3 linked regions of the Arabidopsis thaliana genome follow. The protein of the gene in region 1 interacts with the protein of each later gene in a pairwise test. Each region holds a gene or a part of one and is shown in the gene's direction. Other genes may lie near its edges.

Region 1 (4,261 bases):
CGAGAATAGATGATTAGTTACTGTGGTGATGATTTTGATAGTTAACTAATATCAGTAACAGTCTATCATGGACGGATTTACATATTTCTAATCGGTAATCCAAACTAGATGTAAGAAGAGGTTACAGAGATTCATTAATTCGCAATATAATTGTTCTAAGAAACTTATACATTGCTTATTATACATTTGTTTATAGATTTGGAGAAACATATAGCCAGTGAGGCTAAAGTTGATAACTAGACTTAAGTAAGTTATAGTTTCTATTTTCTTTAACAGAGGAAACAATACATGCAATTTAAGAAAGTGAAGGCTTATGGGAATGAGAATGGGGAAGGGAATACAGTTGGAGAGTCTCTGTCGATTCACGAGACACTAAGGATGTCCACACAATCATATATACCCAATTCTTACTTCTGTCTTCTTATAGAGTACTACATACATACTCATTCTTGATAAGGGACAAAAAATTAAATAAAATGAGTTAAAGAATGTGAATGTTTTTTAATGGTATTAAAGACTCTGAATGTTCTTCTCGAATTTTCATATTTTAACTTTTGATTTTTGTGTTTTTTTTTAATCAGGAACGCCGTATGTGCTAAAAAAAATACCATTTCATGAGAATAAACAAATTCTATTAGTCGACGACATAAAAAACAACAAACAAACACTATGGTGGATTATAGATAGACTAGGGAATATTGTAACTTTATAAAAAATATTGAAAAAATATGAAAACATTGTAAACTAAAAATCATTAATTTCTAGATAATATAGGACTAAATAATAAAATGGGCCAAGATCAAATTAACCCAAACTGTAGTTTACAACTTGGTTGTTCCCATTCCTTGATATGGGCTAAGTGACATAAAAAGCCCGACTCTTTATTGTCCACTAACAATTGGTCTTTTAACTTCTTGATGGATTAATTGTGGGTGTAGAAGATTATTTTGACTATATAAAAACAGAAAATTAACTAAATATTTTCGATATATTAAATAACTAGATGATAGATGATTTTTTTTTGCAGTAATTTCATAAATTTAGTTTCATAAATTAGTTTGGTTGAATTCAAATTTAGTAAATTGTCAAATTTGAGACATAGATGATAGAACTAAGATTAGTAATTAGTAGCGCTATATATGACTCAATGGATGTGAACAAGATGATAATTTAAAAAAATGTTTTATAAAATTCTTTTTGTCCAATGAACAATAGGTTAAAACGGACAAATTTACTTTTGTGATTTAATTATTGCCATGCATTTTGGCATATAGTCACTCTGTTTCATAATATAAGCTGTTTAATTTTTGTCATTTAACAATTTTAATACGTGTAACATTTCGTCATGCAATGTTATTTTATGTGTAGATATCTAATTTATTAAATGTACTTTTATTTCAGTTATAAAAGTTATACATAATCTGCGATTATAAAATTTTATATTAATATAATGCGTTAAACATTAAGTATCTGTTTACGATAATACCAAAATAAAAAACAAGGGAAAAATTCCATCCCAAATTTTTGCTTTTGTTACTTTTGAATAGCAAATCTCTAATGTATTATTTTTCTAAAATAAAATCTTCCTATCCTAATGTCATCATCTACAAAATCATTAAAATATGTAATGTCTGATTAACTAAAATAATTTTATCAACTAGTATAAAATAAGAGAATCAACCAAAAAAGTTTGGTTTAAATTGTATAGAGAGAGTCCTCCATTAGCGTCCAGCAACAACGCCCACCCACTTTCACACCAACTTGAACACACTACTCCTCCTCCTTCACTTTTTCCTTCAATCTCTCTTCTCGCTGACGACTTGGAAATAAAGTGAGGGAAAATATTCCTCCAACTTCACTTTCCTGAGAATCTGCAAATAAAGCAATTCAACTTCCTTTTCTTTCTTTCTAAATGAAATTTCGTTCTTTGTCTCAGTCTCTCTCTCTTTCTTCGGTCGAGTCCGATCAAAATTGAAAACCCATTGAGTTCCTCGCCAAAAGGTATAGTCTTCGTTATTTCTTCTGTAATTGGATAATGGGGTTTGATCGATTCTGATTAGTACAATCCCAAAGTGTTGTTCTTTGTTTTCTGGTAAATTTTCTCTGCTTTTTTTGTGTTCTGTTTTAAAACAATTATTCTGAGTTAAGCAAAGCAACTTGTGGTTTTGTTGTGTAATGATATCAAGTGGGTTATTTTTTTTATTATAAGTTTCTCTGTTTTATTGCGTTTGTTAGGGATTATCTACCTAAATTAGGTTTCAACTTTTAATCGGTTAGTTGCTTGCATTTCACTTTGACCACTTTTGCCCTTTTTTGTATATCCCCAATTGAAGCCTCGAGTTTTCTTTTTGACCAAACACAATTTTGTACTGAGTTTGGTGAATGTTTGTTTGATGTCTCTTGTTGGGAATCTCTCTGCTTTAAAGTTACTTACTGTCAATGCTGGCAATAAATCTTTAGTTTTTTACTATTTTCATAATATAATGGATTGTTTTGGGGGTTGTGATGAGTTTTGGATAGTAATTGAAGAGGTTTAAAACTCCCTTAAAAAACTACAGTCCAAACAGTGATCAGATCATTCTACAGGTGAAATTTGAGAGAATGAATCAACGAGAGAAGCTGATTGTTGGTGAAATGTTTGGAGAGTTTCTGTAAATAGACGCCTCGGATTTGGCATTGTTAGTGAAGGTTAAAGGAGTTTCCTAGAAGTTTCAAAGCAATTTGCCTCCAAGTTCTTGACTTATAAAACATATTGGAACTAACATTTCAAGAAAGAAGAGAAGGAGATGGGCTGTGTTTCTTCTTGCTTTGGGGTCGATGACTTTGAGGATTACCCCAATCCAAGTAGTTCTGTTAACAGAAGCTGCCCATGCCCGAGATGTCTTGTTAACAACTTCCTTAACCTGGTAATGCTCTTTTTGCAGTTTTTACTTTTCACCTGCTACTTATATGAAATAAAGGAGAGTTCATTGAAGCTTCGGATTTGATCTCTTCTGCAGTATATCTCTTTATTCAGAAGAGGCGAAACCCGCTCTCTCCCATCCTCCTTACAGGCTACTAATGTATCGATAGCTACATCAACTTCGTATGATAACTTTATGTCTAATACATTCCATTCTACTCCAAGGCCTCTGCCTTATGACGCTGATCCAAGATACTTCCGGTCAAGGCGTGATTCGCTTGTTTCTAGACGCGATAAGGGTTCAAGTCATTCTCATGAGGAAGCTGAGCCCTTAAGAAGTGATGCTGATGTGGATTCTGAGTCTTTCTCAGTGGAAGGAAGCAAATGGGCTAACAAGCTTATTATCTCTGGTGAAGATTCCAAAGAAGAGTTCTCTAGATCCTCTCGGAGGATTCTTCAGTCAAGGACAATGTCTACTAGTAACGAAGGCCTGTATATAACATCTGATGATGAAGATGTCTGTCCAACGTGTCTTGAAGGTATTCATTTTCATCTTTTTTTTTCTTTTTCTTGGATCAATGCATTTCAAAGAAGCTTAGTATCAGATTATTTCGTGTGTTTTGTAGAATACATATCAGAGAACCCGAAGATTGTTACAAAGTGTTCTCACCATTTCCACCTCAGTTGCATTTATGAATGGATGGAGAGAAGTGAAAACTGCCCTGTTTGTGGAAAGGTAAACACTTTTCATGTTCTTCCAAGCCAGTTTTCGGCTTCTCATTTACTAGTGTTTCAGAGTCAGACTCAGACACCATCACGCGTAAATAGACGAGTGATCCAGAGATCAATAGAATGAAAGATGTACAACAACCCTAGAAGCACATGCGTAAAATCTTTACTTGTCTTGTCTATGACAAATATGGCTAATCATTCTTCCTGAAACTCAGAACATTTGAATTATTTCTCATTCATGTTGACTAAAGAATATTTTTTTCTCTGCTGTGAATTCGTCTCATTTGCAGGTGATGGAGTTCCACGAAACACCGTAACTTGTTGCCATTGATCCTGTCTTGTACTGCCTAGACCGGACCTGGGGAGATTGACAAGGCAGCAGAGAGATGTGAATATATTTTTTAACAATATATGATATTGTATATGATGGGGAAATGAGGAAACGTCTCTCTGCACGTTTGGCTTATGGAGTTCTGAGGAAACCCTCTTGAGAGAAAACAACAGCAGCAGCAGAACAGATGCACACAGGAATCTGACATGTTTCTTAGGATTTGCCTTTGGCGCAGTGTTTTGTTCAAGGCATGAAACTTTTTACATCATTTTGTATGATTACTTTTAACCTTTTAT
Region 2 (4,545 bases), on another chromosome or scaffold:
CGCAGATAACCAAATACATGCGACCTGTGATTCTTGGTTGTATCTTATGTGCTTCACATTCTCGCACATTTGCTCTTATTAATGGCTATTCCGCTCCCTTGGAGGTCTACAAACTACTGGAGCATCATGATGATGCAGGACCAGGTATATCCAATTCGAACTGAACTTCTTGATCATTATAATGCTAAGACGAGTGAAGATCACATCTCACTTTTACTTCAAGAATAGTAATTTGCCATTGGAAAAAGGGTAACAAAGTCCTTTTGACAAAAGTTTTCTAATCACTGATGACTTCTTGGTTGGTTTTGTATGTCAGGTTCTGTTCTATGTGTGGGAAGTGAATGGCATCGATACCCATCATCGTTTTTTGTGCCCCACTACATTAGCGAAGTACGGTGGATCGATGATGGATTCCGCGGTCTTCTTCCATTCCCATTTAACAATACACTTGGAGGCACTTCAGCATCACCTCCATACTTCAACAACAAGAACCAAGCATCCGAAGAACAATATGTAATACTCACACACTCTTCTCTCATGAAACCTTCAAAATATCTCTAAACATAAACTTAATCATGGCTTGTTTACTCGTTCCATTTTTTCCAGTTAAAGAACATCGAAACTTGTACATTCCTCATTGAGTTGCAGCTTAGCAGACCGTATCAGTATCGAGGCAGCGACTTATCTACATGGGAGGTATAGGAATCAAACCATCTTCCTGAAACAGAATCCATCTTTGATTTCACTTCACTTCTTCAATTGGTTGTTTTGACCCTTTTTTCAGGCTATTGCGGTGTTGCCTTATTTGGACAGAGAGCTGTCGCCAGCTAAGTATAGATCGTTCTTCATCCCGCACATGTGGCAGGAGAAAAATGTGTTTGGCAAATACGTAGCACTGAGAAGAGTCCCAAAATGATCACAAATCGTTAAAACTCCTTAGACTTGTAGCTTTAACTCAGTTCATTGGGTAGTTTTGGGAGAATGTAATAACTAATAACTGATTAGTATCGGCTTTAAGTTCAGGTACGTTCACGGTTCGTAGTTGTGTTGTTGTGAAAGAGACTAGTTTTAACTTTGTAAGAAATCTCCAAATGGTCAGAAGAACGTGGAAGATTATGTTTATGACATTATTGTGCAAAGTCTATATTCTTTTTGTCTTTTGATATTGCGGATTCCAATTTTGGCTATCGAGAAAAAGGGAGAAAATGAGAAGACTATGGAGGGCACTTCATAATTCATATTTCTGTCCTCTTTAAGTTAGCGTTTGACCAACGCGTCGTAAAAAGGTACAGAAGAAGAACGCAATAGAATTGAAGATAATGAACTAAAAAAGTTGTGTATATATATTGTAAAAGATTATCTTTGAAGAAAAGAATAACCTAAACAAGGTATTAATTTTTCTAAAAATTTGATCGAGTCATCGAGATCATGGTAGGTATATTGACGTTTGTAATAATGTTGTCACTATGTTACCACCAGACTAATAAATAGTGCATGTCGTTTACAAAACTAAGAAAAGATTATTTTCTTAGTAGTTTTCAATCATGGTTAAAAAAGTATTTGAATATGGAAATTATTCTTAAAAAAATTGAATATGAATATGGAAGAGAACTTACAGAAAATTATTTACTAAATGTATTCCTTACATATTTCATGTAATTATATATTTTTACTAGCATAAAAGCATCAATTTATTTCCGTAAAGGAAAAAAAGAAAGAATTAAAAGGATCAAAGGGGCACGAAACTAGAGACGACGAAGCGTACTCGATTATTATCAGCCTTTGGTAGCTTCGTTCTCTCTCAAAAACCCTAACTTCTCTGTGACGATCGAATCCGATAGCGTGCGATAATGGCCAATAGTAATCTTCCCCGACGAATCATCAAGGTTAGTTTTCCGATCCTCTGTAGCATCCTCCGATCCGTATCTCCCCTCAGTTTCATTTTGGGGAATTCTAATCTGAAATCCGAAGAAGGAACCGACGGATTATATACCTCAGCAGAACTGGGAAGAATTTTCGATAGCTTGTACGATCTTATATCATCTTCGTCATCTTGATCTGACTTTTTTTTGTTCTTCGATCTGATAGGAAACTCAACGTCTGCTTAGTGAACCTGGTAATTTCATCACTTCATTCGATCCTTGTTGATTTCTCACAGTTGATTTTAGCTCAAACAGTTGGTTTTGGTAGCTGGAACTATTGATTTTAATTCTAAGTTGTATATCTTTCGAAATTGCAGCTCCTGGGATAAGTGCGTCTCCATCAGAGGAAAATATGAGATATTTCAATGTTATGATTCTTGGTCCTACTCAATCTCCTTATGAAGGTAGTCAAATTGTTTTAATCTCCCAAAGATGCTCATCGTTACTTCTTCCTTTTTCTTCTTTAATGCATGCTGCTCAACGATTTATCGTTATCGTTTCTGCTGCAAGTAGTGACTCTGCTCTGTCTCTATATTTGTTTATACAAACGGATATGTTCGTTTAGGTACTACTAGGTCTCATAGATTGCTCATGTTCGGATTGTAGTGTTATGAATAACGATGAGTCTTTAAGCTACCTTTGAGTTCATTTCGACACATTTTATTTGTTCTAGAATACACAATGCCAAGTCGAATTTCCAGAATCAAGTCTGCTGTTTTATCTATCATCATATTTCTGTTAATTGATGTTTACCAATAATTTTGTTTCCTTCTCAATCTGTAGGAGGAGTTTTCAAGTTGGAGCTCTTTTTGCCTGAAGAATATCCTATGGCAGCTCCCAAGGTAAGTTGCTTCAACTTTTGTGTGTTTTTCTTCTTTCATTTCATGTTTCACTTGTTTTGGTAACATTAGGATTACCCCACATAACATTGTTAAGTGGAGGTAAATGCTCTTTAAGTGAATGTCTCTCTACTCTTAACACTAGGATTTTATTTATGGGTTTATGAGATTGGTGATTTTGGTTTTGTTATGACTACTCCGAATGTATTTTCTTATATTATATTAGACAACGTATCCAAGTTTCTTCATTGATGTAGAGTTTATGGGTCTTATTGATGATATCATTTGAAACACAGGTTAGGTTTCTCACCAAGATTTACCATCCTAACATCGACAAGGTCTGTTGTGAAAAATTTCCTTTTCTTCTCTTACTGTCAAGATAACTAACCAAACACATGGTCTTTTATACTTATGGATCATGTTTTGTTTGCACTTATCATGTATATATAGCTTGGAAGAATCTGCCTTGACATACTGAAAGACAAGTGGAGTCCTGCACTACAAATACGAACTGTGCTCTTGAGGTATGAATATATCCATAGAATCTTCTTTCCCTACTAAATCCAAAATATTGTAGAAATTAAGATTTAATTATTCACACTTTCTGATTTTCCATTGCCGTGTAAAAACAGTATCCAAGCTCTTTTAAGTGCACCAAACCCAGATGATCCTCTGTCTGAGAACATAGCTAAGCATTGGAAGAGCAATGAGGCAGAAGCTGTGGAAACAGGTGATAAAATACGATCGAAAAACTCAAAAAAGTTGCAACAAAAACTTTATTCCTCTCCTCTCTAATCTGGTAATCTCATATCAATGTGAACTTATGCAGCTAAGGAATGGACTCGTCTTTACGCAAGTGGTGCTTAAAGAAGACTGCAAATGGAGAAAGATCATTGTCATTTAAATAACATTATATATGGTGAAACTCTATCTCAAGGTTTTATCTGAATCCTTTTTCTGAAAACAGAGGAAAAAGATTTGTACTCTCTGAATTTGTATAACTAGGGGGATCTAAGACTCGTTTACCCATATCTGGAATCTAACTTTCTTCAATTGTGCTTGCTTTTGATCTTTGTTTTTGTTATATATGCTCTATAATAATCTTTATAAAGTGGTGTAGATAATCAGATTTTCACAGGTTGTGAATCAAAGTAAATTGGATGAATGATGCATAATGTTACTATTACAGGTGTATGAAGCAGCTTATTTTGGTCAAATGTAAAAAAAAAAAAAAGTGGTAAAAATAGTAGTCACGAGGAATGAGACTTGAGATTTTGAAAAATGGGCATAATCAGAAACTTGACTCGTCAGTTGATGGACGCCTCAAGAAGTACCTCAGACTATTAGCAAGGACCTACAAATACAAAATTTGATTTCATTTCAGTAAAAACATTTCAACTTATCAAAGAGAAAAGTCTAATTTCAGAATTTTAACCTGCTGGAGAGGCTTGATTAGGGCTTTGTTCCTGTAGCTTACATGAAACTTCACCTTAGCCAACAAACCCTTTTTGTTTCACATACAACAAGAAGAAGCAACATGAGAAACAGAGCGATATTATAGCGGAGGGTATATGTTTTAGACATTAAAAAACAGGATTATTAGATACCTCGGTGTCGAATTCTCCAGATTCAACAGCGACGCTGATATCTGAAATGATCTTCACCAGCTCAACTAATAGTCCAGGTCTATCCGCTGATTCTATGAAGAGTAAACTGCATCATCAACAAATAATTATGGATCAATGATCAGATCATATATCATAAGAATAAAAGCATTTGGATAA
Region 3 (3,930 bases), on another chromosome or scaffold:
TCATATATTTGTCTCTACTATACTTTTACTAACTTTCCCACCTCCAATTAAAAAAATTATTACGAAATAAACAAAGTCATATCTCTCTCCACAACATAATTACTTTATTCAACAAATATTAATTCCTAGTCATATTTTAGCTCCTCTTCTTCCTTATATATTACATACATACATTTTCTTTAGAAGTCATTACCATCAACCCATCCCCTAGAAAAACACAGAGAAAAACAAATACAAGAATACAAAAACCCTCTCGACGAAACCGAAGTATCGAAATGAGAAACAAGAATGGTAAAAGAGGTAGCGTTGAGCCCTCGGCGAGGACCGTGGCGTCGGTGGTTGCTAATGGGAGGTTTGAAGGAAGATCACCATCGAGCGACACATCATCATCACAAAACTCGTGCCTGACGAGGACGGAGGAAGTGAAGGAGGAGGTTGCATCGTCGTGGGTTGATGAAGAAGAGGCGCCGGAGATGGTGGTGATGGGATGTCGAAGTTGTATGATGTATGTTATGGTCTTACAAGAACGTCAACGTTGCCCCAAGTGCAAATGCACCGACTTGATCTTCTTTTAGAGAATTTGTTTTAAGTTATTATTCAATTTGGACTTTTGAGTTTGAGATGATGAATTTAATTTTCTTTGTAAAGTCCTCTATATAAATCATATTGTTTAAATTATAATCTCTATTTTAATATGTTAAATTGACAGACAGATCATTTCTGTTTGTGGCCGTCCCTCTTGGTTCATTTTGTTAAGTTGTCCATTTTCATGTTTTAGTACTATGGAAGCCAATGACATGAACGAGGATGGATTTTCATCGGAGTTGAATTCGATTGTTTCAAACGCTAGTTATGGCGTTTGCGTTTATATTTATTTATTTGTATACTCCAGAGAAACATAGTTTTTCAATGTAAATGAAAAACGCCAAAAAAAATAGAAAGTTTATTTTTAAAAATTACAAAATATAAATTTAAACACAAGTAAAAAAATCGACACGTCTCGAATTAGGGTCTTAAGAATCAAATTGGTAGTATGCTAATAATGGTATTGCTTTGGTTTCATCGGCATTCAATCCGATGAAATTTTCAATAATTAAGGTTAAAAGTTGTATCTTCATCAATTAAAACGTTATTTATTCAAAACAATTCACCATCAAATTCAATAAAATTTAAGAACTTTTACAAACTTCAAATATTAAATTATTTAAGAAAATATTTTTAAACCTAAATTTAGTGAAAAAGTAGCAACTAAAATTTGTTTTAATGTATTTTATGACATTTTTCTATTTATAAGTACTAAATTTTCAAAAATCTAATAAATAATTAATTTCTGTTTTTCATATATATTAAGGCACATGCGACGACATATATACGTGACAACATTTTATCCTAAAGTTTTAACATGATTTTTGAAAAAGAAATTTACATTTTACGATAATTTAGTTGCAAATCAAGCGAGTTTTAATATTTCAATAATTTTCATGTATATAGAAATTTTGCATTGCTAGTTAAAATAATAACAAATAGATGTTGTCAAAACTCGAAAATAAAAGGGGTGTTTCTGTAGTTATCATAATTTAAGGAATTATATGATAGAAAAACAAATTTGGGCGGTAAATTTGAAAAAAATAACTTTTTCCAGTCTCCCCAAAAGTACCCGATTTGCCAAATTTGACCCTCCCATTTTAGCTTTCTGTCTATTCACCAGATTCTCTCTATTCGATTCTCCCTTTACTTCTTCTCGTCTCTCTTCTCTGCTCGTCAGATCTCAAAATCAATCGGATATCGAAACCACAACTTCATCAATTATGACTCTTGGCTCAGGAGGATCTAGCGTTGTTGGTATAAAATTTCGATTCTTTCGGGTTTGTTCTCGTTTTTTGATTTTGATTCTAGGGTTTTGGAATAATCCCTCGTTTGTTTTTTTTTCTCTAGGGTTTTGGTGAATTCTTCTTTTGGTTTTATTCGTTTTGATCAATAGGTGTTGAGATTTCTCATAGGTTCTATCGATCTAGTATAAAAAATTGTAGCTTTGTCTAAATTGTTCGCATATAGCTTGATCTGAATCAATCAATTTTAACAAATCGCTGAGAATGATTTGCTGATGTCTCAATTCCTGAGATGGGTTTAAAATGCTATTCCTGAGTTTCTTATTGTTTCTAAGACCTTAGCTAGGAATGTTTTCATCTTCTCTATAGCTCATTGTTAACTTTGTTGAGTGTTATCTTATTTTAGTCTTTGTGGATAATGATTAATATGATATGTTCTGTTCTCTGCTTTGATTAAAAAAAGTGATTGCTTGTTTTCATTTACTGATATGAATTGTTTTTGTTACGCTTGTTATTGCAATATAGTTCCGAGGAATTTTCGGTTGTTGGAGGAGCTTGAACGTGGGGAGAAAGGTATTGGGGATGGAACTGTGAGCTATGGAATGGATGATGGAGATGACATCTATATGCGTTCTTGGACTGGCACCATCATCGGTCCTCACAACGTAGTTATATCTTTTTCTTTATCTGCTAACATTCTCCTTCGTCTTCATATATGTTAACAATTGTTTTGAGAAGCATAGATTAATATTATTTGCATCTCATTGCTTGGAATACAGAACATCAAAACCACATTGTTTTCTAGGCATTGATCTTATCGACATACAATCTCTTAAGCTTTATTTGAGCAGATTATGCCATTGTTGCTTTTGCTTGTAGTAACAGAGATAAATTTTATGTCACAGACTGTTCATGAAGGTAGAATCTATCAGTTGAAGCTCTTTTGTGACAAAGATTACCCGGAGAAACCTCCAACTGTCCGATTCCATTCACGTGTCAACATGGCTTGTGTCAACCACGAAACAGGAGTGGTACGTATAAACTCACCACCGCCCTTCCTTTCTCTGTTTTGTTTCTTTGGATGCTCTGTAATTTTTTTATGCGTATGTGTATAGGTGGATCCTAAGAAATTTGGGCTACTTGCAAACTGGCAAAGAGAGTACACAATGGAGGATATACTGGTACAGTTGAAGAAGGAAATGTCTACGTCGCATAACCGTAAGCTTGTTCAACCTCCGGAAGGTACTTGCTTCTAGTTACTTCTGGAATCTTCTTCTGGTTTGCTAGAAAATCATTGCCCCTTCTAATACCAAAGTATGTATCTGGGGGTCCTCCATTGTCGTTCTCAACGCTTTTTTTTTTTTAATTCATCAAAAAATGGTCTGTGTGGATGGTATGGTGATGATGATGATGTTGTCCGATTGATCATCTGAAGTTTTATCATTGTGTGCAAATATCAAAAACAGCTTCTCTTCCTCACTCCATGTGTTCAATCTTTTGAATTTAACATTTTGTGTCAGCCCTTTTTTTATATATAAATGAAATCTGCTATATTTAATTGGTTATTTGTTATGTAATACACCAAGGTTAAAACAAGAAAGTATCATAAAAAATCATGAATCTTTGTAATCCGAACTAATGGAAAAAGAAGCCATGAACAGCTTCGTAACCCTTATTTTTGTTTCTGTGATTCATCTAAAGCCAATGCTTACGGTGATTAATAGAACCTTTGAAAACTAAGTGTTACTTTTTTCTACAATTAGCACACTTCTTATTGATGATGATGCACGTCGATTTGCATGTACTTCTTGATGTTCCGCGTCGTCGTTCTTGACATAGAAACAATCATTCTTCGACATGTAGACTTCTACTTTTAGGACACTGTTTAACTTGCTTGTAAGTTGATTACGAGTGGTCTTAACCATAAACGGACTCCATGAAAGTTGATTACGAGTGGTCTTGGAAAATCAACTTATTAAATAAATGAAAAAAGTGGTTGAACGTAATTAAACCTATAACACATTTACACATTGCTCAGAAGCTCAATTAATTTATGTTTCATCAGATTTCAAGCCCAAACATTAACACTCATGGTTGGATT

The links. Proteins that work in one complex are often made in the same cells at the same time.
Region 2: the proteins of AT5G15790 (region 1) and UBC36 interact in a two-hybrid assay, tested with the Arabidopsis thaliana proteins (one large-scale study listed by BioGRID).
Region 3: the proteins of AT5G15790 (region 1) and UEV1D-4 interact in a two-hybrid assay, tested with the Arabidopsis thaliana proteins (one large-scale study listed by BioGRID).

Annotation. Positions count from the first base shown.
Region 1 is NC_003076.8:5,147,014-5,151,274, forward strand, and holds AT5G15790 (RING/U-box superfamily protein), read left to right. Parts: upstream 1-1,709; 5' UTR 1,710-2,001; exon of another isoform or gene 2,002-2,586; 5' UTR 2,587-2,786; coding exon 2,787-2,906; intron 2,907-2,999; coding exon 3,000-3,441; intron 3,442-3,528; coding exon 3,529-3,758; downstream 3,759-4,261.
Region 2 is NC_003070.9:5,775,633-5,780,177, reverse strand, and holds UBC36 (ubiquitin-conjugating enzyme 36), read left to right. Parts: upstream 1-1,693; 5' UTR 1,694-1,850; coding exon 1,851-1,886; exon of another isoform or gene 1,887-2,088; coding exon 2,089-2,143; intron 2,144-2,239; coding exon 2,240-2,326; intron 2,327-2,349; exon of another isoform or gene 2,350-2,705; coding exon 2,706-2,764; exon of another isoform or gene 2,765-3,057; coding exon 3,058-3,099; intron 3,100-3,211; coding exon 3,212-3,285; intron 3,286-3,393; coding exon 3,394-3,491; intron 3,492-3,590; coding exon 3,591-3,628; 3' UTR 3,629-4,001; downstream 4,002-4,545. Other genes in the region: EBS3 (Alg9-like mannosyltransferase family), read left to right, coding at 6-144, 317-513, 607-696, 785-916; ACR11 (uridylyltransferase-like protein), read right to left, coding at 4,053-4,115, 4,197-4,265, 4,369-4,474. UniProt on the Arabidopsis thaliana protein: Catalyzes the synthesis of non-canonical poly-ubiquitin chains that are linked through 'Lys-63'. This type of poly-ubiquitination does not lead to protein degradation by the proteasome. Mediates transcriptional activation of target genes.
Region 3 is NC_003074.8:19,493,833-19,497,762, reverse strand, and holds UEV1D-4 (ubiquitin E2 variant 1D-4), read left to right. Parts: upstream 1-1,667; 5' UTR 1,668-1,808; coding exon 1,809-1,842; exon of another isoform or gene 1,843-1,865; intron 1,866-2,354; coding exon 2,355-2,494; coding exon of another isoform or gene 2,495-2,497; intron 2,498-2,680; coding exon 2,681-2,860; intron 2,861-2,944; coding exon 2,945-3,085; 3' UTR 3,086-3,386; downstream 3,387-3,930. Other genes in the region: AT3G52561 (uncharacterized protein), read left to right, coding at 276-575. UniProt on the Arabidopsis thaliana protein: Has no ubiquitin ligase activity on its own. The heterodimer with UBC catalyzes the synthesis of non-canonical poly-ubiquitin chains that are linked through 'Lys-63'. This type of poly-ubiquitination does not lead to protein degradation by the proteasome.